Linked DNA regions of Mus musculus: all the other regions are reported to be linked to region 1. The links are microRNA targets in miRTarBase. Many come from high-throughput screens and were not tested one by one. Region 1 holds a microRNA gene; each other region holds the end of a gene's coding sequence.

Region 1 (7,000 bases):
GCTGGGAATTGAACTCAGGACCTCTGGAAGAGCAGTCGGCGCTCTTAACCACTGAGCCATCTCTCCAGCCCCCTTTACCATATTTTCAGATGTAAGCTAATAGGATTTAGGATTGACAATTATAGCTTGGTCTACAGTGAGTTCAAGGACAAGCAGGGCTACCCAGAGAAAGCCTATTTTGAAAAAAACCTGCCAACTAACAAAATATGGAATCAAATACCTTTATCAACAGAAAAACTCTTTCAAAGCATAACATTGAATACATATTACTTCAACAACTCCAAGTTAGAATCACCATATCATTCTCCACTGAACTACACAGCCACTAACCATTAGTGAAACAAGAAAGAAAGGTGTACAGGCTATTCGATGTACTTAGGCCTTATTTCCTGAGGAATAAGGTATTTAGGTATTTAGAGTAAACTTAAGAGTTATCAGTGTTACCATGGACTCTACAAGTAGTTTATCAGAAAGGTACAAATTCTGACTGGAGTTGCTTTGTTTTCCATACTATTTTGAAAACATTTCACATGGGGTTCATAAATATTACCTTGACTTGTTTCCTGCCCGGTAGAGGCTCTCCGCTCACAATCTTCACAATCACTCCAGTCACAAACTGTGGGCCTTGTGCACTGACCTTCTCCTGGGTGGAACACTCTTGACCACTGCCTGCTGCTGTGAAGAGGAAGGAGCCAGAGGTAACCTTCCCACTCCTGACATTTCACATGAGGAGCACTATTCTACAACAGCAGCAGCAGCAGCAGCAGCGACTTCTCAGGCTAGTTTAAGGATCTCAGAATTGTAAATAATATTAAGGAATCACACTGCCCATTGGAATCAACATGGCACAAAAGGCATTATACCTCTAAACCAAAGAATAAAGCCTTAATAAAGATGTATGCCTATATGAACATAAGACTATTCAAAGTATTCTATTCTTTTTTTTTTTTTTTTTTGGTTTTTCGGGACAGGGTTTCTCTGTATAGCCCTGGCTGTCCTGGAACTCACTTTGTAGACCAGGCTGGCCTTGAACTCAGAAATCCGCCTGCCTCTGTCTCCCCAGTGCTGGGATCAAAGGCATGAGCCACCACTGCCTGGCTTCAACAATTTCATTTTTTAAAAAATTTGTTTATTTATTTTATTTATGAGGACGCTGCAGCTGTCTTCAGACACTCCAGGATAGGGTATCAGATCCCACCATGTGGTTGCTAGGACTTGAACTCAGGACCTCTGGAAGAGCAGTCAGTGTGCTTAACCACTGAGCCATTTCTCCAGCCACAAAGTATACTGTTCAAATATGAGAATTTGTATAATTTGCAAGAACTTAAAACCTTTACTAATATTACAATGAACGAGAGTAGTGCTCTAATATGCTCCTGCTTGCTGAACATCATCCACTAAGCCTGCAGTCTTTATTTCTCTCTCCAGGCACTCACAAGTGAGCTCGCAGGTAAGTAGAGAAGAATAAACAGACTATTAAAACCTAGTGTGTAATACAAAACTTCACATTTTTACTTTTCTTAAAACATTTTGTTTTTGGAAATGGTTCAGCTTAAAACTGAGGAAGCCACTCTATCACTGCAATAAAACTGCCCCTGAAACCATTCATAGACTAAAGCCCACTCTTCCATTACATGAGCGTCACCCTCTCCGTTCCCCACTGCACACTTACTAGGCGCTTTACAGTCTGTTTCCATTTCTGATTCCAATTTGATTTGAGATATTGTTTTTTTTAGAGAAGCCATGCTAGCTTTTTGCAGTGCCAAATACTCTTTCTTCAAATCCATCCATTCAGTCCTGAAAAACAAAAATTGAGCCATTACAGTGATAAGACGACCCAACTAGAAATCTGAAGTTGATCTAAACACAATGTTCATAGGAACTGCAAGTCTTTCTGACTTTTCTTTCTTTTAAGGCATATGTTTACATTATTTGTTAAGCCATTTGTTAAAGCTACCTAGCAAACACACAAAGGAAGTTTCTTTGTCTTAACAGGCAAGGAAAATGCTTGAGTTTCCTGGTTGCTTCTAATATTTAATTGTAAAATCACTTTTGAGTCACTTCTATTAAGTAAAATCACTAAATCAGGCAACCTGGAGAAAAAGTAAGAGACTAAAACTTAAAGATTTCTCAAATTGCTTCCAATTTGAGAGCTAACATTCCTTAGGATTTACTTGAATCAAAAGGAATTTCTAAGAAGAAAAAAACACCCCATGGAAGCAATTTATTTATTTACATACATTTAACATGTAGATGTATCTTCAAACAGCTAGGGCTCCTCCAGAGAAGCACAATGCATCTCCTGGCTCTGTGGGAGCGCTCATTGTTACCCTAATCTGTGCCATCAAACGGGCAGATAGGAGATTTTTTTTAAAGAGGAGGATATCTTGTGGTAATGGTTTTAGCAGTTAACATTGACATCTGTTTACTTCAAAAAAGGAAAAAAAAAAAAAAAATCCAGACCTACCCAGGTCCCCAGGACCTACTTTCCCCAGAGCTGATACATTAAAATAACAAAGGGTCTTGTAATGATTCTCAGAGATAGAAAGCCAAAAGGAACTCAGGAGTTAGGAGTAGTATAAATACAAGTGGTCTAAAGTCGGCGTCTTTCACCCTCCGAGGACAGAACAGGACTCTTTGGGAGGCGGTCACGAAGGTAAAGGAGGTAAAGCTTATGTCTGTAACCGGGTCACTTTACTTTCCTGTGGGTTTGCTCTTCTGTTTTAACTAGTTGCCTTGTGGGTGGGTTCCCTTCAACTTTAACATGGGAATGCTTTCTGTCTCATCGAAGAGTAAGTGCTTCCATGTTTTAGTAGAAGTGAATTCAAGAAACTCTGGAATAAGAAAGCTAGCCTTTTAATTCAGAGTCTGATGGGAGTCCCCTCTGCTTTAACATGGGGTTACCTGCTGTGTTAAACAAAAGCAAGTGCTTCCATGTTTCAGTGGGGGTGTCTTAAACTGTTCAACATTTTCTCTAAGATGCTGTAGGTTAAGGGAGTTATTGACTGGGCTTCCCACCACTTAAACGTGGTTGTACTTGCTTTAGACCTAAGAAAGTAAGTGCTTCCATGTTTTGGTGATGGTATGTTTTCCTTTATATTCATGCCTTTGTAAAGACCACTCAAGTCTGCTTAAGGGGCCTCCTTTACTTTAACATGGAGGCACTTGCTGTGCATTTAAAAATAAGTGCTTCCATGTTTGAGTGTGGTGGCTCCTACTTAATCTTCATTGTGCTGCATATAGATAGACCAAGGCCGTCACTGTTGCTAACATGCAACTCTGTTGAATAGAAATTGGAATTGCACTTTAGCAATGGTGATGGACCTGTGTCAGTGGCCACTTACTTGGACAGCACTCTCAATGGTATAACCTCCTCGCCCATCTTATGTCTCTCCTTGTGTTTCTTCTTATGCTTCCTCTTCACCTTTGAGAGTGAGTCACCTTTTCTGTCTGTCTCCTTCTCCTCCTCAGTAGAGCAGAATTCTAAGTCTAGAAAAAAGATTTCCGTAAGTCCGTTGTTGTGGTTAAACTGGTTAAAACATTTGTAACCCTACTGCCACGGTACCTCTGCTCTCCTTGGAGACCTCGGAAGCTGCTTGGCCGACGCCATCCTTCTGAGCCCTTTTCTTAGCTTTTGGCCTTGGGGGGAGGCAGTCTTCGTCCTCGGCGCTGCACCTCTCCCTCTTCCCTGCCCTGGCTTCAGGTAAGCTGGATGCTTCCACCTTGTCCCGCTTCTTCTTTTTCTTTGCAGGTTGCTTTGGAGCTTCCGGGGTTTCTGCTTCGGAGCCCTCAGAGGCCGTCCTTGGTCTCTTCGTGGCTTTACACACGCCCGAGCTGCTGCTGTCCACGGCCGACTCTTTGGCCTGCACACTCTCTTCCTTCTTTATTCTGCCTTTTTTCTTTTTCTTCTTTTTCTTCTCTTCTGTAACAAGATTTTATTATTTACAGTCATAATAGTTTATTGTTTACTTGGCCACTCTAAGTAAGCACTCACCTGCTACTCGTAAGGAAGGGATGGGCTTGTTTTTCACTGTCTTGGGAAATATACCAGGCTTTCTAGGTGCTTCTTCTGGTGGGTTGTTCAGAAACTGAAAAGATTGATTGCAGAATTTGTTACTCTTGTTAACCCTGTGCTTTTTCTTTACTTTTCAGGGTCCCACAGAAGTACGTACCTCAATGGCTTTTGCTGCTTGCTCTTTTGTTTCAAATTCCACAAAGGCAAATCCCTTAGGATCCCCAGTAGACTTGTAATGTGGAATACTTATGTAAACCACATTGCCACATTTCCCAAATACTCTCTCAATCCAGCTATGAGTAACATTTTTGGGGAGCAACTCCTGTAATAAATCATGGTATGAACATTTTAAAGTTCCTACATTTTTACCAATAAATGAATTATAAATAAATGAACTAGAATTAAAATTTGTGTCATTTCTTACCACATATACCGTGCGTTCCTCCTCGTCCTTTGGTCTCTCACCTAGGGGTTTTTTCCTCCTGATTCTGGTCCCTTCTAAGTCCAACTTTATGAGGGGGGAAAAAAAAAGGAAAGCTAAATAAAGTCAGTAGTTAATTGGATGTGGGTGACTTGAAATGTAAGTTTTTTACCTCTACAACAGATGAGCTTTTCAATGCTCTGGCTATTAGCTTCCCATCAGTTGTCAGCTTCTTCATTTTGTTAAAAGACACCAGGAGAGAAATGTCCACATCTAGTAAATAGGATAGTGGGATGTTAAACACTGGAATATATACATGTGTGCAAACAAGCACGAGTTCAACATGCAGTTGTGTGTCATGAACATATACAGTACTGAGCTCTCAGGAGGCTCTGGCCCCATATAAATGTGAGTTGGAAATTCCAACAAAGACAAAAAACTTACATCCATCTCTAGACTTTTCAATTTGCTCTCGCAGAAACTTGTCCTTGTGAAGGTTTGCATCTCCAAACCAGAAGTCCACCTGCTTAGCAATATCTGCAAGCACCTGTTTAACCCGGGAGCGCTTCTTTTTTTCTTCTTTTCTCTTAGTGCTTTCTTCCATAGTTTTTTGGTTTTCAGTTTCCATTCTGAGAGGGGAAAAAACAAAAATGCCAAACTGTAAAGTGCCTAAATGCCCCTGTCACCTGAACCTTCCTGCTGCAGGAATTCCTGCTGCAGGACGCCATCTCACTGACATCAGTAAGGATGTTTTTAAAGCTGGTCTGTCAGGCAAGTGCAAATTCTGTAGTAAATTCAAGTAGTAAAACCTCTACCTCAAAAGATGGCCTAGTCAGCCACCACTGGAAAGAGAGGCCCTTTGGACTTGTAAACTTTATATGCCCCAGTACAGGGGAACGCCAAGGCCAAAAAGGGGGAGTGGGTGGGTAGGGGATTGGGGGGGTGGGTATGGGGGACTTTTGGGATAGCATTGGAAATGTAAACGAGGAAAATACCTAATTAAAAAAAAGAGGAAAAAAAAACCCTCTACCTGATAATTACTAATTAAGTACATTGTAGCCCTATGGGGGGGGGGGGAGGGCTGGAGAGATGAACTGCTCCTGAGTTCAATTCCCAGCAACCACATGGTGCCTCACAACCATCTATAATCTGTAAGGGGATCTGCCGCCCTCTTCTGGCGTGTCTGAAGACAGCTACAGTGTACTTGTCTTTAAAAAATAGGTGAATACTGGATCTCATCTCAGGTTTTCAACTCACCGTATCCTTCCAGGCTTTCATTCCTACCATTTAAGCGGAACCCCAATGAGCTCAGTGTTTGCCTAATGCCAACAGTTACCTGACCTCTTCATCTGGCTTTAAGTTTGCCTTTTCTGGATCCTTCCAGAAAAGGGACACTTCCAACTGTGACTAAACTCCTATCTTGGCCTCCTGTCTCATCTATCCTCTCTGAGGGTCCTGGCTATTCAATTCTGGGCTCTCTATCTCATACATACACACTCTCATTAGCTCCATATTCCAACAGTCAATTACACACTTGACATCTCCATTTGTTCATTTAGAGGATATCGCAAACTTTATCTGACAAAAACAGAATTCCAGCCCCTCTCCCTCATCCCTTCTCCTGTCTTTATCTCTTATTCCCTGCTCTTTATCCCTCTGGAATAAATAAATCTCTTTTGTGTTTGAAAAAAAAAAACAGAATTCTATAAATTTAAGATTTTTTTTCCTCTTTGCAAAATACCAACTACAAAACTGTAAAACCAGAAAGCAGTCTCACTCCCTTCCTCATACTCTACAGTCAATTCAATTCACCAGCAGTCAGACTAGCACGGGCTTTAAAATACATCCTCAATTAATCCTTTTATTTCTAATAAGCTACTTGGTCCAAGTTATTATCACATCTCACTTGAACTATTCCAAGATCTTCCCTAGAGGTCAGCTGGCTTCTACTCTGTTTTATTATAGTCAATTTCCTGCTGTTTCTTTCCCTAATACTCACACACACTCTCATGTCAAGTGTGTAATTGACTGTATGGTTGGCTTGGTTATTTACCCAGATCTGTGAATGCCACTGTTTAAGAGAGCTTTGTCTTTCATCCAACCTACAAGAGTCCCATGGATCCCAATCTGAACTATCCCCTAGACTTTTCTTTCAATGCTCACCACTATCTGGAATTAGAGTTTTGTTATCTACCTACCCCACTATAATACAAATATAGAGGCAAAGGCTTTAATCACTACGTATTTGTGAAGTAGTTACATATATTTAAAAGTCCCTGTAGCTAGGCATGGTGGTACCTAAGCCCCAGCACCCACGAGGCACTGGCAGGTGGGCCTCTGTGAATGTCTCGCCCTATATAATGAAAATAAGGTATTAAGCATCTCAAGTTCTTTTCTAAGGTGGTGGAGTATAAACAAATATAAATACAGACTTCAGTGATCAGAGCAGGCTCCACTGCTAACTGTTAATCATAATGGGCGGGCTTACAGCTTTCTAGTTCTTTTTCCTGTCAAAGCCCACCATCTAAGGCAGAGGTTCTCAACCTGTAGGTGAGACACTTTTG
Region 2 (7,162 bases), not on the chromosome of region 1:
TACCACACCAAGCCTGTATAATGTATAGAACGATGTTTGGCATGTTAATTATGCTGTGATAAAAATAAGAGAAGTAGCAACGGAATGCACTTTTAAGAGTGACTTGTAAAGTATTAAAGCTTTAAAGGATGTTCCATTTGCTAACTGTATCACTTCTGTTTGTTGATCTCAATAGGACTATACAGGCTTCAACCCAGGTTCCAGTAGTGGTGTCTCCTGGCAACCAACAGTTACATACAGTAACAGTGCCACTCACAACGGTTATAGCCAGCATAGACCCATCATCAGGTGCTGGGTCTCAGAAATTCATTTTACAAACCATTCCATCGTCACAGCCCATGACAGTACTGAAAGAAAATGTCATGCTACAGTCACAGAAGCCAGGCTCTCCTTCAATTGTCCTCAGCCCCACCCAAGTACAGCAGGTCCTCACAAGCAATGTTCAGTCCATTTGCAATGGAGCGGGCAGTGTGGCATCCGCACCATCGTTCAGCGCGACGACACCTGTGGTGACTTTCTCTCGGAGTTCACAGCTGGTCGCACACCCACCGGGCACTGTGATCACTTCTGTTATCAAAGCTCAGGAAACAAAAACTCTTAAGCAAGAGGTGGAGAAAAAGGCCGAAGATGATTTGAATGAAGATGCTGAGAAAAGTGCCCAGCAGCCCCAGCCTTATGTGATGGTGTTATCCAGTTCAAACGGGTTTTCCTCTCAGGTAGCCGTCAAACAGAATGAACTGCTAGAGCCCAACTCTTTTTAATACACCAAAGGAATTATGGGTGGGTATTTTTTTAATTGAACTCATTTTTCGGTTGTCTGACCATAACATGATTTTTTTCTAAGATGAAATCCACAGAAGTTCTTAACTGTTAAAAAGTTACTTTTGACTTTGCTAGATAAGGAGGCGAACCCAAGTGTGTGTCTCCTCTGAATGTCTCAGAACTCAGTTGTGAAGGAGCAGGAGGTTTAGACGATGAAGAAATTCTTGACTGTTTTTCAGTTGCTATATCATATTTTAAAAGTTTCTTTTCTAGCTTGACACTGTACTAGCTTCCTGAATTGTTTGAAAATACTACTTAAATATAAGACAACAGGAAATTTATATAGGAAACATTTTCATTCCACTTGTATAATTTAAGTCTTAGCTCTTTCAGATGCAAGAAACTTATACTATTAAAATTGTTGCGATGTCACTTAGCTTGACTTTAAAGTTGGCTGGACTGTTATACTATGAATATACTACGAATTTGTAAACTATCATTATAAATTGAAGTGTATATGCTCAGTATATTGGCATATATGTGTAATTCCAGCACTGGGAGGAGGACAAAGGGCAATCAGGAGTTCAAGGCCAGCCTTAGCTATATAGTGAGTTTGAAGCCAGCCTGGGCTACATGTAACCTTCCCAAAAAAATCCAAAACAACAACAAAAATATTTAAGTGTGCCTATGATAATGTCTGAACCTGAGTTTAAGAAATGTGATGTAGCCGGGCGTGGTGGCACACGCCTTTAATCCCAGCACTTGGGAGGCAGACGCAGGTGAATTTCTGAGTTTGAGGCCAGCCTGGTCTACAGAGTGAGTTCCAGGACAGCCAGGGCTATACAGAAACCCTGTCTCAAAACAAACAAACAAATAAAAAAAGAAATGTGATATTATAAAGGCAACACTTGTGACACTTCCACTAGCTAGGTGTGTAACCCTGGGTAGGCCACTCCATCTCCTAGGTGTGTAACCCTGGACAGGACATTTCACCTGCTAGTCTGTGCTATTCTGGTAAAATGAAGGGATGCATTGGACTAGACAAAATGATCTAAAAGTTTCCTTATTATAAATTTTAGGATTTTATTATCTGTACTTTAAAATTATTTCAAATATTACCAGATTATCTCCTTATGTAAAGGTAAAATACTGCTTAAAAATATTTTCCTCACAAAATTACTATCAGGTCTGCCATAAATTCTTCCTAAGTTCTCTGCTCATTAATCTTCAGACCACAGTTACTAAAACTGTGGCTTAGTAGTAAGCTGAGGGCTAAATGAGAGACTGCTATTCTAAGAGCATCAGGGCTCTGAGGGCCAAAGAAGCAATGGGAGTCCTGAGCTAGTATAGCTGTGTCACTTATTATAAAAGCATAACTGTTTTTTATTTGGATCATTTTTTACTGTGGGTGAAGGGGAGGGGAAGTTGCATACAAAGATATATATCCAAGTTTCCGAAGTAGAGTTTTTAGATTACTTTTTCAATGTAAATAATGTATATTTAATGTCACAAGAAATTGTTTTCTGCAAATTCTCTAGTATAGAAAGTTTTGTAGAAGAAAAATTATTGTGTTTAGGGGTATAATATTATATGTTTTCATATTATGAAATGAATTTGTATTTAAACAAAAATTTAAATTTTGGAATCCTCTAAACATTTTTGTATCTTTAATTGTTATTATTAAATCATGTAAAAGTTCTCAATATTTCTGTTTTCAAGCAAATATTTCTTGTTTGTAATTCTTTTGCTTTTTGACACAAGACACACTGTGCTGTCCTAGAACTAGTGATTATCGTGCCTCAGACTCTTGAGTAAAAGGCACATGCATCAACCATACCTGGCCATGTTCTTATACTGTGTGCACATGCATGTGCATGCCTGAGGGGACACACAACATGTTCTTATACTGTGTGCACATGCATGTGCATGCCTGAGGGGACACACAACAACATTTGGGAGCTGGCTCTTTTCTTCCACCATTGGTTTCGAGGGTCAACTTCAGACTTTAAGGCTTGCATAGTCTTGTTACTCTCTGGTAAATACTGCTCCAAGAACACACACATACTGAAATGAGTTTCTGTGTAAATGAGACTCTGTCTTAGAAAGCCAAAGAGAAAATAAACTTGTGGTATAGTAGCTGTGGCTCTAAGTCAGCTTTTAAATGTCTGAATATACATGCAGGAACACAGTAGAGAAGAGAGCATAGCACTGGCTGTGGGTCCTGTATCCTGTCTGAGGTGGGTCCTCTAGGCCCTGGGCTGCTGCTTTCAGCACTTCCTGGGTCCTAGGGATCCGGATTCAGGCCGTGGGGCTTACATAGTAAGTGGTTACTCTCACTGAGCCATATCCCCAGCTCTAAAACAGGCTTTCTTAGTAATTGCTAAACTTGGAAAAAGAAAAATTCAAGAAAACAAAAATCTCAGTACCATGGCATGTCCCTACTCTCTTATTGGTAAACTTAGTCATTTTTCACATATTCGTACCCATTTGTGAGTATGTGTGCATGTGCATTTGTGTTGATACAAAGTCTCTCTCACTGTGCACCTCTGGGTGGCTTTGAATTCAGAGAATCCACTTGCTTTTGCCTCCCACGTCTTGAGATTTAAGGCATGTGTCAGGACTGATACATAACCTTTAAGCATCATTGAATGTGTATGTGTGTATTGAGTTTCTATTGCTGTGAAGAGACAGCATGATCATGGTAACTCTTAAAAAAGAAAACATTTATTTTTTAAACACTGTCAGAGGATTAGTCTGTTATCCTCATGGTAGAAAGCATGGCAACAGACAGACAGATATGGTAGCTGAGAGTTCTATATCCAGATTGGAAGGCCGCAGGAAGGGACCCTGGCCCCGGCTTTGGCTCTTAAAATCTCAAAACCCATCCCCACAGACACATTTCCTCCAACTAGGCCTCACCTCCCAATCCTAATCTTTTTGTTTTTCAAATAGTGCCACTCCCTAGTGACCAAGCATTCAAATCTGAGACTATGGGGCCATTCTCATTCAAACCACCTGTTTGTCCCCGAGAGAGAGAGAGAGAGAGAGAGAGAGAGAGAGAGAGAGAGAGAGAGAGAGAGAGTGTGTGTGTGTGTGTGTGTGTGTGTGTGTGTATGTATGTATGTATGTATGTATGTATGTATGTATGTACTGGCTGGTTTTGTGTCAACTTGACACAAGCTAGAGTCATCACAGAGAAGGGAGCCTCAGTTGAGGAAATGCCTTTTTGAGATCCAGCGGTAGGGCATTTTCTCAACTCGTGATCAATGGGAGAGAGCCCAGCCTAATGTGGGTGGTACTATCCCTGGGCAGGTGGCCCTGGGTTCTATAAGGCAGGATGAACAAGCCATGGGAGCAAGCTAGTAAGCAGCATCTATCTGTGGCCTCTGCATCAGGTTCCTGGCCTGACTTTACCTTCATGAGAAACAGCAATGTGGAAGTAAAAGAAACCCTTTCCTCCTTAACTTGCTTTCTGACCATGGCGTTTTGTCACAGCAGTAGAAACCCTAAGGAGCCACATTTGTGAAGTGCCTCTTGAAGCCTGGAGGTGTTGGATACCCGAAGACTAACAGATGTGTATGAGCTGCCAGATGGGTGGGTGGGTGTGGGGATCGAACCTCTGATTCCCTGGGAGAACAGCCAGTGCTCTTAACCTCTGAGTCATCTCTCCAGCCTACTAATGAAATTTTGTAGGTATATAATATTAGAATACTATAAATAGCTTGCAGAAAAGTTTTCTCCCCCAAGGGGGGCTCTCAATGTATAGCTCTGTCTGACTTTGAATCATTATTTAACCCAAGCTGACCTTGCACTCTTGGCAATCCCTGTCTCAGACTCACAACTAGAGATTAAAAGTATGTGTCACCAAGCCCAGCTAAACTAAATTTTGTTAGTGTGTGAGAGGGGAGGGAGAGGGAGAGGGGTCCAAGAGCATCTTTGTGGAGTTGGTTCTCCCCTTCCACCTTTACCTAAGTACCTGGGAGCAAACTCGGTTCTCTAGGCTTGTGTAACAAATACAATTATCTGCTGAGCCAACTCACCAGACCCTAAACCAAATCTTTTAACTTGGGTCAGTAGAGCTTTACACTGAACAGGAAGATAGCAATTCATTTGTGCCACTATAATAAAACTACTTAAGACTGGATCATTTAGTAGGCACAGAAACTACAGTTTTAGACTCTAGAAAACTCAAAATGAATTTGCCGGTAAGCCTGGCAATTCCATTTCCAAAGATGCCTTGAATTTTGAATAAAGCAATGAAGTTGCCATCAAGTTTAAGGGGAAATGATTTTTTTTTTTCAGTAAGTGGGGTTGGGTTAGTTGGTATCTGTATGGAGAATAAAATAATGGACTTTTATCCCTTGTTATACTTTCAAAAAAGTTGTCAGAGTAAACAATAGACTTAAATGTGGAAAGTGAGCGATCTAAAAGAAATGTTTCAAGAGCCTTTGAGTAGAGAGAGTCTTACACATGGCACAAAAGAAATGATTATAAACTGAAGAAGAACGAAGACCAAAGTGTGGACACTTTGCCCCTTCTTAGAATTGGAAACAATCACCCATGGAAGGAGTTACAGGACAAAGTTTGGAGCTGAGACAAAAGGATGGACCATCTAGAGACTGCCATATCCAGGGATCCATCCCATAATTAGCCTCCAAACGCTGACACCATTGCATACACTAGCAAGCGTTTGCTGAAAGGACCCTGATATAGCTGTCTCTTGTGAGACTAGGCCGGGGCCTAGCAAACACATAAGTGGATGCTCACAGTCAGCTATTGGATGGATCACAGGGCCCCCAATGGAGGAGCTAGAGAAAGTATCCAAGGAGCTAAAGAGATCTGCAACCCTGTAGGTGCAACAACATTATGAACTAACCAGTACCCCAGAGCTCTTGACTCTAGCTCCATATGTATCAAAAGATGGTCTAGTTGGCCATCACTGGAAAGAGAGGCCCATTGGACACGCAAACTTTATATGCCCCAGTACAGGGGAACGCCAGGGCCAAAAAGTGGGAATGGGTGTGTAGGGGAGTGGGGGGGAGGGTATGGGGGACTTTTGGGATAGCATTGGAAATGTAACTGAGGAAAATACGTAATAAAAATATTTTTAAAAAAGAAATGATTATAAATTGATCTGTGTGAAAACTTGTTTCAGACGATATTAAGAGATGCCAACTGGCACAAGGTGTCTGCAATAAATGCATCCAAGAAGGAAGTCACACCCAGCCATGCAAAGAACTGCAAACGGAACAAAACTAACATTTCCTTTAAAGACATTATGCAGAAGACACTCCTCATCGTTATGCATCTGTTCTTTTACAGTCTAGTTTCTGCAGGGTTCACAGAAACGGAAAACAACCTTGAATGGAAAGATCCAAAACGATGCTCTCTACCTTCCCTTACAGATCTGCTTAGCTTCAGTTTAGTTGAGCTAATTTGATCTTCTCAGTACTTACTAAAACCTGAAACCTGCACCTCTTTGAGTTTAGTGGCCAGCTGGCCCTGGTCTGCCTCAAGTGTCTCTCCCACCTACTTCTCCTTTCCCACAAGTGGATTCAGATTCCTTTCTGGGACCTGTTATCTTCTATCAGCCCTTCCCCGCCCCGGCTCGACCCCCCCCCCCCTTCAAACAACCCATTTACAATACAGATGGGATATACCTACAGGTGGCAAATGTGTTACACTTTAAACTTTGTAGTATTCCACACTTCCATCTCTTGATGACCCCATACATACTTAAATCTTTGTAACCTCCGTTTCTCCATCTTGAATATGGGCTCAAGTTTCTCTGTATTTTCAAACGTCCTCCCACCGTTATTTTTTGCATCTGCAAGGGGTGATTGATTGGTAGGTTGAGGTTGTAACAAAAAATTATAATACCCACGATAGCTAGCAAGCACAACTAGGCGTTTGGCCAGTATGGAAAACGTGCTAGAAAAGTGGGGAAGACAAAACTTAGGTCTTTTAAAGTTAGAACTCAGAAAAGTGGGCGAGTTTAACAGTGGGGATATGTACACAAATGCCTGAACTGTAATTTCTTTTTCTTCGTGGACTGTCATGTTTCCAGACTGAGGTCTTATATATATCTTGTTTGAGGAAGCCAACGACCACTTCAATCATTTCACCTACTAAAACAGACTTGGTAAAACGAGTTACTGAGCGTTATCAAGAGCTTTTAAATCAAGTTTGGTGAACCTATAACTGCCACTCCCTCCTGTTGCCCCTTACCACTCAGTTTCAAAGAATTCGCAGGAAACTTCCTAGTGTGATGTTTGGCTCTAAGGACGGCGGGGGACGGGGGGCTTACTGGTTACTTAGAACACAAAGCAGCAATAAGACCATTAGCTATAGGTCACTTTCATCCACGCGGTGCTTGTGAAACAGGCTTTTCTTGGTTTGG
Region 3 (7,162 bases), not on the chromosome of region 1:
AGTTCAGCCATAGGTTAAGAGTATTCAGTTATATGCTTAGCATCTCGATTAAGCCATAGTTAGAAGCTGCCATGGCCTGAACAACTCTTTATCTTCTTTTCCTTGTTCATTATTTTCCAAAGCCTATCTAACAGCCTGGCCATCTTCTCATGCAATCTACAATTAAACCAACATCAAACAAACACATACTTTAGGGACTGGGGATTTAGCTTATAGCAGAGCCCTGATATGTTCAGTAAGGTTTTGATTTGAGAAAGGGTCTTAGGGGGTGTGGTGGTGCAGCCTTTGATCCCAGCACTGGGAGTCAGAGGCAGATGGATCTCTGTAGTTCTAGTGTAGGTCAACTAAGAAGACTACGCAGCGAGACCCTTTTGAGATGGGGTGTGGGGAAAAGAAAGGGTCTCATGTATCCCAGGCTGGCCTTGACACAGATACCTAGCTCAGGATGACCCTGGTCCTCCTCTTAGCACCATCTCTGAAGTACTGGGATAAGTGTACATCTTGTATTTAAGATCTGGGGTCTCATAAAGCTCTGGATGACCTCCAACTTGCTATGCAGCAAAAGCAGGCCTTGAATTCTAATCTTCTTACCTCCATTTTCAACTGTCTGTCTGTTTCTTTTTTGTGCTGATGATCAAACCAAGGCCTCACACATGCTAGACACGTGCTCTCTGCCAGCCTTTCCTCTGCTCAGCTTCCTATCGTGAAACAGACAATTACCTGAGAGTTAGTAAATGCCACACATTACACCCTACAGCTTTAAAGCTGCTGTGCAGCAGTAAATGCATAGTAAGTGTTTGTAGGTAAATACACAATAGGTAAATGCACAGGGCTACCACCAATCCTGACAACTCCAGTTCAACCCCTGAGACACAACAGTGACCAGAGTTGTCTACTGACCTCCATGTGTGTACTGTGAAATGCAATTTAAATTCTTTTCTTCCTTCCCTCCCATTTTCCTTCCTAAAGCTGCAGTGTTTAACCATTTGGGGAAAAAACCCTGCCATTCTAACACGGAGGCTGGTGCAGGAGGACAGCAAGTCAAAGGCAGGAGGCACACAGGCTTGAGAGCAGACCACACACAGCAAGACTCTGTCTGAGACATAAAGGCGCACTATGTTAATAGTGCAAGGGTTATAACAAGCCACATACCAACTTTCAAATGCTTTATTTTTTAGTGTTTAAAACATTTTAATACAACAAAGTTATAAAATAATATATATTAGTTAAATCTGAATTTAATTTAGAATCAGGTATTTACTTATTACAACACTGTGCTTCAAGGTCTGGCTACCACAGGGATTTTCATGTCTTCAAGTAACACTAGTTTCTCTGTGGGCAGGGAGACCTTTAGGTAGAATTCTCAAAACTGAACATGCCTGGCTTAGTCCAAGCAACCTGCTTCCCCACTGAGTACCAATTTCATTTCCTTTGTTCCACATCACAAATACTTCATTATCCCAACAATCCATGAATTCAATGAAAAATTATTAAAATTAAACATTTTAAAGATGTTAATAACAATAGGCTCGGTTTGGTTCTTCAGACAATCCACTAGTTCAGATTAAAAGAGATGTGAAGTAACAATGGAAAAAAGAAAACAAACAATAGAATATTCCTTCTCCCATCAAAGCACAAAGCTTCCTTATGCCAAGATGGGAAATTCACAGAATAAAGAGTCCTTTGATTAACACAGTGTAGAATGTATCCTCAAAAACAACTTAGTGTAGCTGGAGAAATAGCTTAGAGTTCACAGACCTTTGTACTGAACTTGATACAGTAATTCATCATATTAGTTATGTAAAATCAGTGCCACTGAATCTACAGGCAAACCAACACCTACTTTTACAGTAATTTTAGTCATTTAAAGCTATTCATAAGGAGAACAAACAAACAAAACCCTTTCTCTTTCCATCCAGTAGCCTGAAGCATCTCTGATGGTACTTTAATCCTCAGCTGCAGAGGTAATAGGGGTGACTGGGACTAATCTCACTTTTTAATAAACACAAACTGTTATGTAAAGTTGCCATTAAACCTGATATGCTTGTGAGTTTCAGGACAGTCAGGGCTATACAGAGAAACCCTGTCTCAAAAAAACAAACAAAAACAAAACAAAAAAAAACCCTGACATGCTTGCTAGGCAGTAAGTGGTGATGCTTGCCTTTAATCCCAGCAACTTGGGAGGCAGAGGCAGAGGCAAAGACAGAGGCAGAAAAATGTCTGAGTTCCAGGACAGCGAAGGCCACAAGGAGACTCCTGCACTTGCCATGGCTGACGAGAAACCCAAGGAAGGAGTCAAGACTGAGAACAATGATCATATTAATTTGAAGGTGGCGGGACAGGATGGTTCTGTGGTGCAGTGTAAGGTTAAGAGGCATATACCACTTAGTAAACTAATGAAAGCCTATTGTGAACGGCAGGGTTTGTCAATGAGGCAGATCAGATTCCGGTTCGATGGGCAACCAATCAGTGGAGAATAAAGATCGATGTATGTGTTCCAGCAGCAGACTGGAGGTGTCTACTTAAAAAGGGAGCCTGCTACTTTACTCCAGAATTTGTTATAGACCAAGAATACATTCTCAATTAAAAAGCCACAGTTTGGTCCCGCCACATCCTGACTACACAGTATAGTTTTCTCTTCTTTCATTTCCCTGTCCCCATTTCTTTATTGTACAAAAAGTAACTGGTGTATGTGCACACGCATAGTGCTCTCTCTTTCTTTTCCTTTTTTTAAACGAAATGGCCAATGTTCTGTTCTGGTTGGCATCAGATGGAGATGGTCTGGGGGAAAGTACTGGGTCTGTGAAAATACCCCTTCTCCATTGGTGGCATGCTCATTCAGCTCTCATCTTTATATTTCAGTAAGTTATTTTGCTCTCATTGTTTTAACAAAAGAACACAACACCACCAAATCCTTGCATGCCTTGTTCAATTGGAGAATTTTAATGATTTTCATTTATCATTGCAAAACCAAGGACAATTTTTTTTTTTTTTTGGTTTTTTGAGACAGGGTTTCTCTGTGTAGCCTTGGCTGTCCTGGAACTCACTCTGTAGACCAGGCTGGCCTTGAACTCAGAAATCCGCCTGCCTCTGCCTACCAAGTGCTGGGATTAAAGGCGTGCTCCACCATGCCCAGCTTCAAGGACAATTTTTATATTTTTTTTGAAGCTGTTACATGTCTTTAGGGAATAAATTACTCTTGAACAAAATGATCTTAGATAGTTTTCCCTTCAAGTCAAGCATCTTATTTACATAAGCTTGTTTAAAATGAAAACAAAAACAAAACCCACAACCAACAATAACAAAAAACCCAAACCAAACCAAACCAAAAAAAAAAAAAAAAAAAAGAAAACAAAAAAACAACAACAAAAACCCCTGACATGCTTTCTGCTTTCACGCTGTCTGAAGGAAAGCAAGTGGACTATTCTAAAGACCGTTCTTGTCTCCTAAGTCTGTCAGCTGAGAGGGCGACTATACTGTCTGCTTTTGCTATGGGATTTCTATCCACAAGACCATCAAATAATTGAGTGTACTAAATCAGAGAGTTTAAGTCAAGAATATTGTAAACATTGTTAAGCATTTTGGATCTAGAATCTTTCAATGATAAAATTTCTTTTTGCTGAATATAAAGAAGATACATTTTTGCCACAAATCTGAATTTATACGAATTAAGTTTTACAAAAAGATGTGTGTGGTGGTGTACACCTTTAATCCCAGCATGGGAGGCAAAGACAGGTGATCCCTGAATTAGAGAAACCCTGTCTCTGAAAAAACAAAACAAAATAAAACAAAAACAAAAACAAAGAACCCCCCCCCCCCAACAAACAACCAAACACTTTTGCACAAATGTTCCTGAAAGACTACTTGCTCTCTGCTATAGAAGGATCCAGCACCCCTGTTCCCCACTTATAACTTACAGAGTTTTGGAATTCTCAGTCCTAACAGGCAGGTAGAATGGGGCTGGTCACCACTTACAGTGTCAATGTTACGCTATTGGAAGTGTGGGTTTTCTTGGTTACAGCTCACGTTATTTAAATTGACTGGTTCTAAGATGAAGCCCATTGCTTTAGAAAGGTTATTTTTGCCACAGCAACTCTGGCCTCGTTGGGAAGTGTAACACAAAGGTTTCTGCCAAAACTATGTGGTGGTGAGAGCAAGCTTATGTTCCATAGGAGCTCGTTCCTTTCCACCCAGCATGTCTACCTTTCAGTAGATCCTGTTTGCACTGTAAAAGCCGAGAGCACTTGCCTCGCACACACAGCCCTGGGCTTAACACCACAGGGAGGGCAGCGACACTGGGATTAGAATGTAGGCAATTCTTCCTTTGCACCCCCAAGAACTCAAAACCTTTCCTTGCTTCTGTACTAAGCTGTCAAGGAGAAAAGTCTCACACGACTGCAGAATCAAATACGGGGTTCAAAAGCGTGGAGACTGCACGCAGCCACATCATGCCCAAAATGTAAACATAAATTCTATCTTCATTATGGTTAGGTTTTAGTAAGGAAAAAGATGTGAGGACAAAACCTGAAAACTAATGTTGTCTCAGTTTTGAGACTTGAAGAGGATTAGCTCTGTAAACACTGTCTTATAGTAGCTACTAGGCTATACATCTAGCTTATCTTTTTCCTCCAAACAAACAGGAGTGACCCAAGGCCACTCAATCCGTACAGCAGGCTGCTGTCAGGCACTCTCACCATCAATAGCTTGGCAAGGGCAACGCCAGCTGCACCTGTTTCCTATTGTGTTCTATGATAGAACCCATATGGAGGAGAGAAGCCTGATGTTAAGATATTTACCATTAATATAGTTAGCATCTTAAAACTAATGTAGACACGCATTTTTGGAACATTTTCCCAAAAGCCAACACTGTCTCTCCCCCTCCCCCCAGGTAAATTGGATCCTGCTCTGTGGGGGGCAGGGGAGTAATAAGAGGGGGTGGCAGTAATATATCCCTTGGCCCTAAGTCAAGCTACTCAAACAAGCATAGCAAACCTTTTCTCCAGGATTAGGACGTTTCTTTAGATAAGATATTGGCGTTTTTGATCCTGGCTTGTAATAGAATCAATAATTTAAAATACTGCAAGGATTTTGAAGTACAAGATTTAAAAACATAATTGAACTTGATTTTGATTGCTTTACCTCATCTCTCAGGTGAGAAATGAGCGCTGTCTCCAGCCTCCTCAGAGCAGGGGTTCTCAGCACGGGGGAGGCCCGTTTGTCTATTAGACAAACCCCCTTCCTGCCTAATCCACTCAGTGGCTTCCAAGAGGTGGGACTATGACTCCAACTGCAAAAATGACCATTCAGCCGCCGAGACAGAGGAATAAACGCCGGCTGTGGCCTGCGTGAGACTGCAGTGCGCCTGCCTGCAGCTCTTGAGTCCTTGTTTGAAAATGGAACGTAAAGACTATACAATTAGTATTCCAATTCTACAACCAGGTTAAAACTGTTATGTACAACCAATAGAAAATAAAGTGACAAATGGTATCGGAGAGGTGACAGTAATTACTGAAGGTAAACAGCAGCTAAAGTATTTAGTTCTTAACTGCCAAATTAAGACTCTAGAAAGAACATATGTATATAATTTTTTTAAAATAAAAAGTAAGAAGCCTTTTTCTATCCACCCATGTCTCAGACTGTGTACTTTCCATGGTCGGGAATGAGAACTTTCAGGGAAAAACAACAACAAAAAGAGGACCCCACCCCCACCCCCACCCCGAGAATTAGCACTGCGCCTACAGCTTGTTCTGTTCTGTTTTGTTTTTTTCCAGAAGAAAAGAATTCTCTGCATGCACATTTACTCACTCACTGATGTAAGAACTCTAACATCTGGTAAAACACTCATGTGTTCACTTAAGTCACATTATTAAAAAGCAGTATATTGGGCTGTCATCTGCCTAACTAACAGTTACAACAAGTATTTAGTCCGGGGACTTACAGCACTACAGGAACACAGCCACCTCCCCTCAGGAGCCCTTTCTGTTGTTCACACTGAAGCTTCCGAACAGAAAGGGACAGCAACTGACGCTGCACCTGCTCTGAAATGCTGACCCCTGCATTAGTGGGAGGCCGGCGACACCTGATCAGCGAGCGTGTCACCTCACACGGTGCCCCCCGCATTCTTTTGTTTCTGCTGTGTTCAATGTGTTTTTCTTTCAAATGGCTCAAAAGGTAAAACATATTTACCAGTAAGACACTCACTTTGCAGACAGACACAGATTAGTTCAATGAACACATGAGAACGGCTCACTAGGTAAGGAAAGCCAGCTTCAGAAATATTCTTGACTTGAGTCCTACTGGGAATCAGTAACAATTCTTCAACCAGCCCAAGCTGATGTGCTTGAGTTCCGTAAGCAAACACTCAGCATGCACAGGTATCGGCCTGACATCACCCCACGCTGGGTCTTCCTACAGTGAGGGGCGGAAACTCTTTCCATGACCTCTCCATTCAAACAGCTAATAAGGAGTCTTGTGTGTTCTTTCTTGAGTTTTACAGTCACGGCCTTTCTCAGAACGGGAAACCTGTCAACACAGAAGCCAAATGCAACGTATCCAGGAGCCTGGGACAAAGTATTCATTTTCATTCCATAACTACTGTATATTTAACAACAAACTCATTACAGAGAGAGAGTCTTCATCCAATTAGTCTTTTCATTATTGCTGGTTTAGAAAATGGCCAACAATATTCATTAGGTACTGTGCCATTAACATTGCATTCAAAGAAAGAAAACATAGGGAACCAAATCCTCGCTCTCCTACTCTGATGATACGCTCTGGTGTTAGCCAGAGTATGGTAGTACAAAAAGAGTCTTGTTGTGATATAAAAGGCAATAAACACATCAATGGAATAATGTTCATGGGCAGCCAAGATGAAGAAGATTCCAAAGAGGTTGAGAACCCAGGATAGAGTGTGCAAGAAATTCCAGCTTCTTGGTGTATCTAGGAAAAGGACAGAAGGACCATTTATTTAATAACACATTCCTGCCAAGCTTCTTAGCCACGTTTCTCAGGGTAGGCTCTAAGCTTCTGCTCCCCTAACCTCTGCCCCACACCCTTTATTTCAGCTCTGTCTCATGTGGCCCAGGCTGCTGACCTGGATGTGTAGCTGAGGATGAACTTGAACTAGGATCTACAGGCATCTGCCGTCACACCTAGCTTTATG
Region 4 (7,162 bases), not on the chromosome of region 1:
TCAGCAGGTGAGGCCCCTTCAGAAAAACCGAGTCCCTCAGAAGGCCCGGAAGAGTCCGCCGGTGAGGTTCAGGACACAAGCAGAGTGCGTGTGCCTGGTGAGCAGGAGGAACTGCGGATGTTGGGCAAAAAGGGCAGCAAAAGCAGTATCTCTGTTTACCTGACCCTAAATCAGGAGACATCTGACTCTTCCAGTGCCTCAGTGTGTAGCATTGATAGCATGGATGATTTGAAATCCTCCAACTCTGAGTGTAGCTCTTCTGAGAGCTTCGTTTTTCCTCCCGGCTGTATGCACGCACCTTCTGCCTCTTCCACTTCTACTTCCTTCTCTTCAAAGGAAGAGAATAGCCTCCGTAATTCTTTGAAAATGAAAATCTTTTCAAAAAATGTCTCTAAATGTATCACACCAGATGGCAGGACCATATGTGTAGGGGACATTGTTTGGGCCAAGATATATGGCTTCCCTTGGTGGCCAGCCCGTATTCTTACCATCACTGTAAGCCGGAAAGATAACGGCCTTTTAGCCCGGCAGGAGGCCCGTATCTCATGGTTTGCATCTCCAACCACATCTTCCCTTGCTCTCTCACAACTCTCCCCCTTTCTAGAAAACTTCCAGTTACGGTTTAATAAGAAGAGAAAGGGTCTGTATCGCAGGGCTATCACAGAGGCTGCTAAGGCTGCTAAGCAGCTGACCCCTGAAGTGCGGGCTTTGTTGACACAATTTGAAACGTGAACATGGACAGTAAGGTAGGCGAGAACCACTGGAGCTGCTGCAGGTCCCTGGCTAGTCAGGAATCATTTCCACCAGCTAGCTTGGCCAAACTGGTGAGAAATTGCACTCAGTTGGCTTTTTATACGTTATATATAGCCATTTTTACACTAAGAAGCTGAAAACTGAAAGATGTTTCAAATTTTCTCTTAAGTAGGATTTTAGGAATATTTTCCAGTTTTAAAATCTAAAACCACCCTAAGGCATAGAAGCCATAGCTTCAAATGAAACAATTTTTGCAGGGACTGTTAATTGCCATTTGTAGCTATTGTTTGTGTGTATATGTATGTCTAGGTATGCACACCTAGACATACATACACACACATCCACATGTATAAACTATTGTCTGTCACCATGTGACATGGGTTGCATATTTGAGATTTTAGTAAGGGCTGGAACTTGGGGAACAGTGGATATTCAATGATTACTTGTTTTATCTAGTGAAAACTTAGACTTTCTATGCACATAGGGTATAAAAGTTTGATATTGGATGTTTGACACACTGAGATGCTTGCTATGACAAATTGGTATGCTTGCTGTTTAGTTATAGACCAGGCTGTACACATTGCCAGTATTTGGGATTAAAACTATTAAGACTAGACAGGTTTGGGTCAGTACTCTCTTGTCCAGTGAGGTTGTAAAACAAACTGTCAGATATTTGGTGGGAAGTTTAGATAGATTTTATTTGGGGTATATAAATAATTGAGTGAAAAGTTAGTCAGATTTCTCCTGACTGGCTGTTCCTAAATTCTTAGGACAGACCCTAGCAATTTACACTTTGTGAATTAATGTCATGTGTAATTGTTGCATTTTGGATGTACCTAATTTGATAGTTTTTCAGAAGCATTTTCCATTTAAGGTAATCTGTTTGCAGGTCAGAAAATGAGAAATGTGATTGTATAATGCATTGAAATGTAAAAAAAAAAAAGCTGTAAATAAAATCAACTAAATCCAAATTATTTGTGTGTGTTTCTCAAAAAGCTTTGAACAGTTTCAAAATAGTAGAAATTTTTCTTTGCAATAGTGGTTAGAAAACATGAGAAATTAAACATTTTTGTTTGCCCTGTCAGGGATGTATTGGAGAATAAATAAAATTCAAATAACAGGAGGTACAGTGAGGCTCTATAGTAATACCATCCGGTAGAACTCTAGTTCCTATCAACTGCTCATGAATGCTTTTCATTTTTTCCCCTCAGTTTTAGCTTTGATAAATTGTCATGCTTTAAAAAATTAGGTAATTGTAGTTGGTTTGCTCTCTGGTCTCCTGCCTCAGATATCACTGCTTTATGGGCTTAGTAATCTAACTCCATATTCTACATGGTCTACCTGTCCCTAAGATGTTATTTTTTAAGAGTCTCGCTATGTCACTTTGGCTGGCCAGGCTGATTTCAAGCTCAGAGCCTTGCCTGCTTCTGCCTCCTGAGTGCCCGCAGAGGCAAGGTGATCTCGAGAATTAAGTTGCTTCCAAGCCTTTTGTTTTCTTAAATTTGATATAGTTTCAGTTAGTACTTACTTGAGATACAAAAAGGTAAACTTTTATGGATTTCTAAAATAATCCAGTGTGAGATATGTTAGTTACTACATAATTAATAATAAAGATAATGAAATTTGGAAATGAACTTCCTTAAGCTTGATACCTGATTATTTCTGGGAAAGAAAATAGAATTTCTTCTGGGGAACTTAGTCAATGCTTTTTGATTTTAATAAACACACAAAGAAAAAGATACATATTCTTTCCTGCAAACAGAAACTAATCTGATTATGACAGTCTGAAAGCTCACAGTGTGATGAAGGGCTTATGAGGGAAATATCCTAGGTTTTCTGAGTAACTGTTTTAGATTAGAGTACTTGTTTGTTTACCTTTTGAAAAACTGATTTATGCGAGAGTCATCTAAAAAGTAATGTGAAGTGTGTGATCTGGGCTGTTGTAGTTGTGACTTTGAAAGTGGGTGTTGCTAATACAGTCAGACACTTTGGCAATGTATCTTTATGGCATAAACCATTTGTCCTATTTCAGAAGCTACATGGGAAAATACAATCTGTGATTGTGGAGTATATAAATAACATTCAGCCAGGAGTGATGGCATGTTCTAGTGATCCTATCATTTGAGAGGTGGATGCAAGAGGGTTGAGTGACTTAGAGATTGACCAGGGCACATAATGAATTCTTGTCCAGAAAATGAACAAAGGAATATTTGGCTCTGTGTGCTGGTACATGCCTTTAGCCCTAGCATGTTCTCTGAGATTGAGGCCGATCTGATCTATGGAATTCTATCTAGACCAGCCAGGGCCACATAGTGAGATACTATTTTTAAAGATATCCCAGTAGAATTTTCCAAGCAAGGTGACCATTTGCTATCTACTGTAACAGAGTTTCCTCTGAGAAGATAAAAGGTACTGTATGTACGATAATAAACCAAATGGACTTTTTTCTTCTTGTTTGGTTTGGTTTCTCTTTTCTGAGAGAATTTACTTAGACAAATTTCCAATATAAGAAAAGTAGCTAAAAGACAAGGATGAGCAAGTGCAGAAAACAAATAAGTTGTCAGGATGGCATCTTTAGAAATTTAAAGCCTCATGTTTCCTTCTTCATTTTGTAGAGCTTAGAAATCAGCAAGTGCACTGGTCTTTTAGAAGAAATCTGTTTTCTATTCTAGTTTATTCCCACAGAACAGAAGACCTGTAAAGGATTCACTATCTAAAGTCAGATTTAATGGTGTGTCCCCAAGTGTTTTGTTTCCAGTATAGCAGTCTAGCCTACCTACAGTTCACCTCAGCTTCTGATCTCTCCACCTCTCATGCAGGGATTCCAACACACCCAGTTTCTATGATGATGAGGACCGAATCCAGGCCTTTTTCACTTTAGCCAGGCATTCTATTAACAGATTTTTTATCTATCCCTGTTTCCTCCTAAGTGGTTTTGATATTTTTTTGTTTGTTTGTTTTCAGTTTTTGTTTTTTGTGTTGTTGTTGTTGCTTTTGTTTTTCGAGACAGGGTTTCTCTGTGTAGCCCTGGCTGTCCTGGAACTCACTCTGTAGACCAGGCTGGCCTGGAACTCAGAAATCCGCCTGCCTCTGCCTCCTGAGTGCTGGGATTAAAGGCGTGCGCCACCACCACCCAGCCTTTTTTCAGTTTTTGGAGCAGGATCTTCCCTTATAGCCCAGGCTGATCTTGAGCTCTTCTGTGCTAGTATTACAGGCTTACACCAACACATACGGCTGGAAACAGAATGTTAATGGTTGCTATTATTGTAGCTTAGTACTACATGCAGCAAGTACTAAGCAGGAATTTTTCTGAAGACATTGTAGGCAGACAACATAGAATTGATACTTAAATCAGCTTAGATCCATCTAGGGTATGGAGTTTATTCAACTAAGAGAGGCTGTTACTTTCTAAAGTTATTGGTTATTGAAGGAAACATATGTTCAGACATTTGGAAAGTGGCCAGTTTTCCTTTATACTGAATGACTGAATTGAGAATCAGAAAATCAGAAATTTATAGTATATGTTTAGTTAGGTCTTTTTTTTTCTCCATTTAAGTTATGAATGTTCTGTAGTTTGGACTGACAGTCTAGTGCCATACTGACATACTAGAAAGCTTGTAATGAAGGTTTTAGTTCAAAGGTTTATGTTCACTGATGGTTTCAAATAGGGAATTGGCCAGTTAGTGATGGTCATTTTCTAAGGAGGGACAAATTCAGTTTTTGCTTTGGGGCTGTGCTAATAGCTATTAACACTTTAATAGAAAAATCTGGAGTTGAGAGCTAAAGCTGGGTTGGAGCCGTTCCATTCCGTGCCAGGAGAGTGAGCGGCCAATCTTTGTTTCTACTTTCCCCTGGTTCTGACTTGAAAGGTGCTGACTGCGCTTCCACGGGGCGTGGACATTTCTGTACTCGGGCCTTCATTTAGCCACGGTTGCACAGTGGTAAATGATTTTATTAGACTTTTTGCAGAGTATCTGGGTTTTATTTTTGCCATGATAATTGATACTAAGTTTAATCTATCCTCCGAAAGGGACACCATTGAGTTTGGCTCTGTGGTGCTGGCTGTTGTAGCACACCCCGCTGTGATATTCAGAAGGGCGTCACTCCTTTACTGTCCCTGTGTCTTCAGTTAAAAACAAACAACATTATCTTTGTCGTAGTAAAGTGAATTGTAACTTTATGAATGCTTAAATAGACATGGCCTAAAATTTAACCATTTTGGGGGCGTATTTGCTTTTTAGAGGATTTTGTTGTATGGGTCAGGCTGGCTGGACATGCAGTAATCCTTCTCTCTCAGCCCCTCAGTATTGGGATCATAGCCATGTGCCACCATAACTAGTTTAAAGCTTTGCCTTTAAAACAAAATAGATAGGGGCTGGAGAAATGGCTCAGTGATTAAGAGCACTGACTGCTCTTCCAGAGGTCTTGAGTTCAATTCCCACCAACCACAAGGTGGCTCACAACCACCTGTAATGGGATCTGATGCCCTCTTCTGGTGTGTCTGAAGACAGCTACAGCGTACTCAGAATCAATCAGTCAATAAATGTTTTTTAAAAAATAGACAGGGTCACACTATCTAGCCTTGATAAGTAGACCAGGCTGGACCTTGCCTACTATCTTAAAATCAATTTTAATTGTACAATTAAAAAAACGTGATGTGTATGTGTGCGTGTGTGTGCGCGTGCTCTCGTGCCCACATGTACAAATGCCTTCAGAGGCTAAAAGATGGGATTAGATTCCCTGAATCTGGCATTGTAGGTCATTGAGAGCCACCTGATGTAGGTGCTACAAATAAGAACAGCAAGCTTTGGGGCTGGCGAAATGGCTCGGTGGTTAAGAGCGCCGACTGCTCTTCTGAAGGTCCCGAGTTCAAATCCCAGCAACCACATGGTGGCTCACAACCATCCGTAACGAAATCTGATGCCCTCTTCTGGAGTGTCTGAAGACAGCTACAGTGTACTTACATATAATAAATAAATAAATATTAAAAAAAAAAACAGCAAGCTTTTGGAACTCTGAGCCATCTCTTCAGCCCCCAGTTGTACATTTTAAAGGTGTTAAGTCTGTTTTAAGTCTGTACTATACCACTGTCTATCTGTAATATGGGTGCTTTGCTTTGCTTTCCTTCCCGCTCCCCCATTGGTTTTATGAAACTAGGTCACTCTAACCCAGTCTGGTTTCTAGCCCAGGACAATCTTGTTTTAGCCTCCCGAATGCTGGGATTACAAAAGTGACTTATAATCAGTGTTTTTAATAGAGTTTTAAATTTGCTGAGAATTGGGGCCACAATGTTTGCTTCCAGGATTCCTTGCTGTGTACCTGCAGTCCTGTATGGAGCATACTCTAGATAACAGCACTAACAGTGTTTTATGCTTAAGGACTACAGCTGCCCAGCCGCCCCTTAGTAAAAGTTTTAGGTGAATTAATTTAACTACATTGAGTACAACAATCTTTCAATGGTAGCAATTGCTTGGATAATTTTTTTGTGAATAAAGGAGACATTTTAATAAGTTTGATAATAATGGAGGCTGGACAGATGGGTCAGCAGATGAAAGTACAAACTGTACTGTACCCAGCATCCACTTCAGCATCAGGCAGCTCACAACAGCCTGTCCAGGGGATTGGACACTGACTTCTGACCTCTGAAGCGTGAGGATTGTAGACCTGCACCACTGTGCCCAGCTCTAAAGGCATAGTGTAAAGACAATCTTCACAATGTTTTGTAAAAATTTTGTAAAAAGGAAGATCAATCAGGAAGGTCAGTGTTGGGTAAATAGGTTTGAGACCAGCTTGGGCTACATGGATCCTCTCTTAAAAAAGAGGGAAACCCTCATAATTTCTATACTGGTATCCATGTCTGCAAGGAAAGGAACGCCAAGTCCTTCATGGCTAAAGTATTAGTGCCACCCTCCCACCCGCTATGCTTGTATGTATAAGTGTGCATGTATGTATAAATATGTTCGAGTTTTGCAGCTGTTTGAGACTAGGTCTCATGTAGCCTAGGCTGGCTTCAAGCTTGACATCCTCTTGTCTCTGCCTCTCTATCTCCTGTCATCTGCGCCTGTAGGCCTGGAGTGTGGCTTTTATGGGTAGGCTTTCTTAGAAAAGAAAAAGCTCATGCTGGGCAGTGGGGGCTCATGATTTTAACCCAGATCTCAGGAAGCAGAGCCAGATGGTTACCCTGCTCTACAGATGGCATTCTAGGATGGCCAGGGACACAGAGGGAGGGGATCAAAATTATAATGCAGAGTAAATTTTAGCAAGGGTGTCCTTTCAAACTGTTCAAGATATTTTGCATTCATTGGTGTCTCTCGTTTAAACCCGCATGTAAGATTTTTTTTTTAGAAGCTGGTGTGGAGGATCCTGATCTGAGGCTAGCCCAGGGTGTACAGTAAGACTGACTCACTTC

The links. Region 1 holds the annotated microRNA mmu-miR-302b-3p (UAAGUGCUUCCAUGUUUUAGUAG, at 2,794-2,816, shown strand). A microRNA usually pairs through its seed, bases 2 to 8, with sites in the 3' UTR of a target mRNA and lowers its output. Matches are read on the target gene's strand: a 7mer-m8 pairs with bases 2 to 8, a 7mer-A1 pairs with bases 2 to 7 and ends in A, and an 8mer does both.
Region 2: the mRNA of Elf1 is a reported target of mmu-miR-302b-3p. Seed matches in the 3' UTR shown: 7mer-m8 at 1,520-1,526.
Region 3: miRTarBase lists Samd8 as a target of mmu-miR-302b-3p. Seed matches in the 3' UTR shown: 7mer-m8 at 3,100-3,106.
Region 4: miRTarBase lists Pwwp2a as a target of mmu-miR-302b-3p. The part of its 3' UTR that is shown has no 7-base or 8-base seed match.

What each region holds. Positions count from the first base shown.
Region 1 is chr3:127,542,482-127,549,481 of GRCm38, forward strand. It overlaps Mir302b (microRNA 302b), which reads left to right and starts at 2,747; the gene lies at 2,747-2,820. Larp7 (La ribonucleoprotein domain family, member 7) reads right to left here. Exons shown (of 13, transcript NM_138593.2): 2 at 4,881-5,065; 3 at 4,609-4,709; 4 at 4,440-4,523; 5 at 4,173-4,337; 6 at 3,995-4,088; 7 at 3,566-3,922; 8 at 3,345-3,489; 9 at 1,673-1,797; 10 at 551-675. The coding sequence starts at 5,064. It overlaps Gm51018 (predicted gene, 51018), which reads left to right and starts at 2,608. Exons shown (of 2, transcript NR_146435.1): 1 at 2,608-2,665; 2 at 4,153-4,422. Mir302c (microRNA 302c) reads left to right here and starts at 2,882; the gene lies at 2,882-2,949. It also overlaps Mir302a, Mir302d and Mir367.
Region 2 is chr14:79,580,010-79,587,171 of GRCm38, forward strand. Elf1 (E74-like factor 1) reads left to right here. Exons shown (of 9, transcript NM_007920.4): 9 at 176-2,482. The coding sequence ends at 761. Among named protein-coding and RNA genes, the nearest start is that of Sugt1, 4.1 kb to the right of the region's middle.
Region 3 is chr14:21,792,714-21,799,875 of GRCm38, reverse strand. Samd8 (sterile alpha motif domain containing 8) reads right to left here. Exons shown (of 6, transcript NM_026283.3): 6 at 1,150-6,939. The coding sequence ends at 6,635. Among named protein-coding and RNA genes, the nearest start is that of Gm23502, 16 kb to the left of the region's middle.
Region 4 is chr11:43,705,471-43,712,632 of GRCm38, forward strand. It overlaps Pwwp2a (PWWP domain containing 2A), which reads left to right. Exons shown (of 2, transcript NM_027557.1): 2 at 1-1,724. The coding sequence ends at 732. Among named protein-coding and RNA genes, the nearest start is that of Gm34963, 27 kb to the left of the region's middle.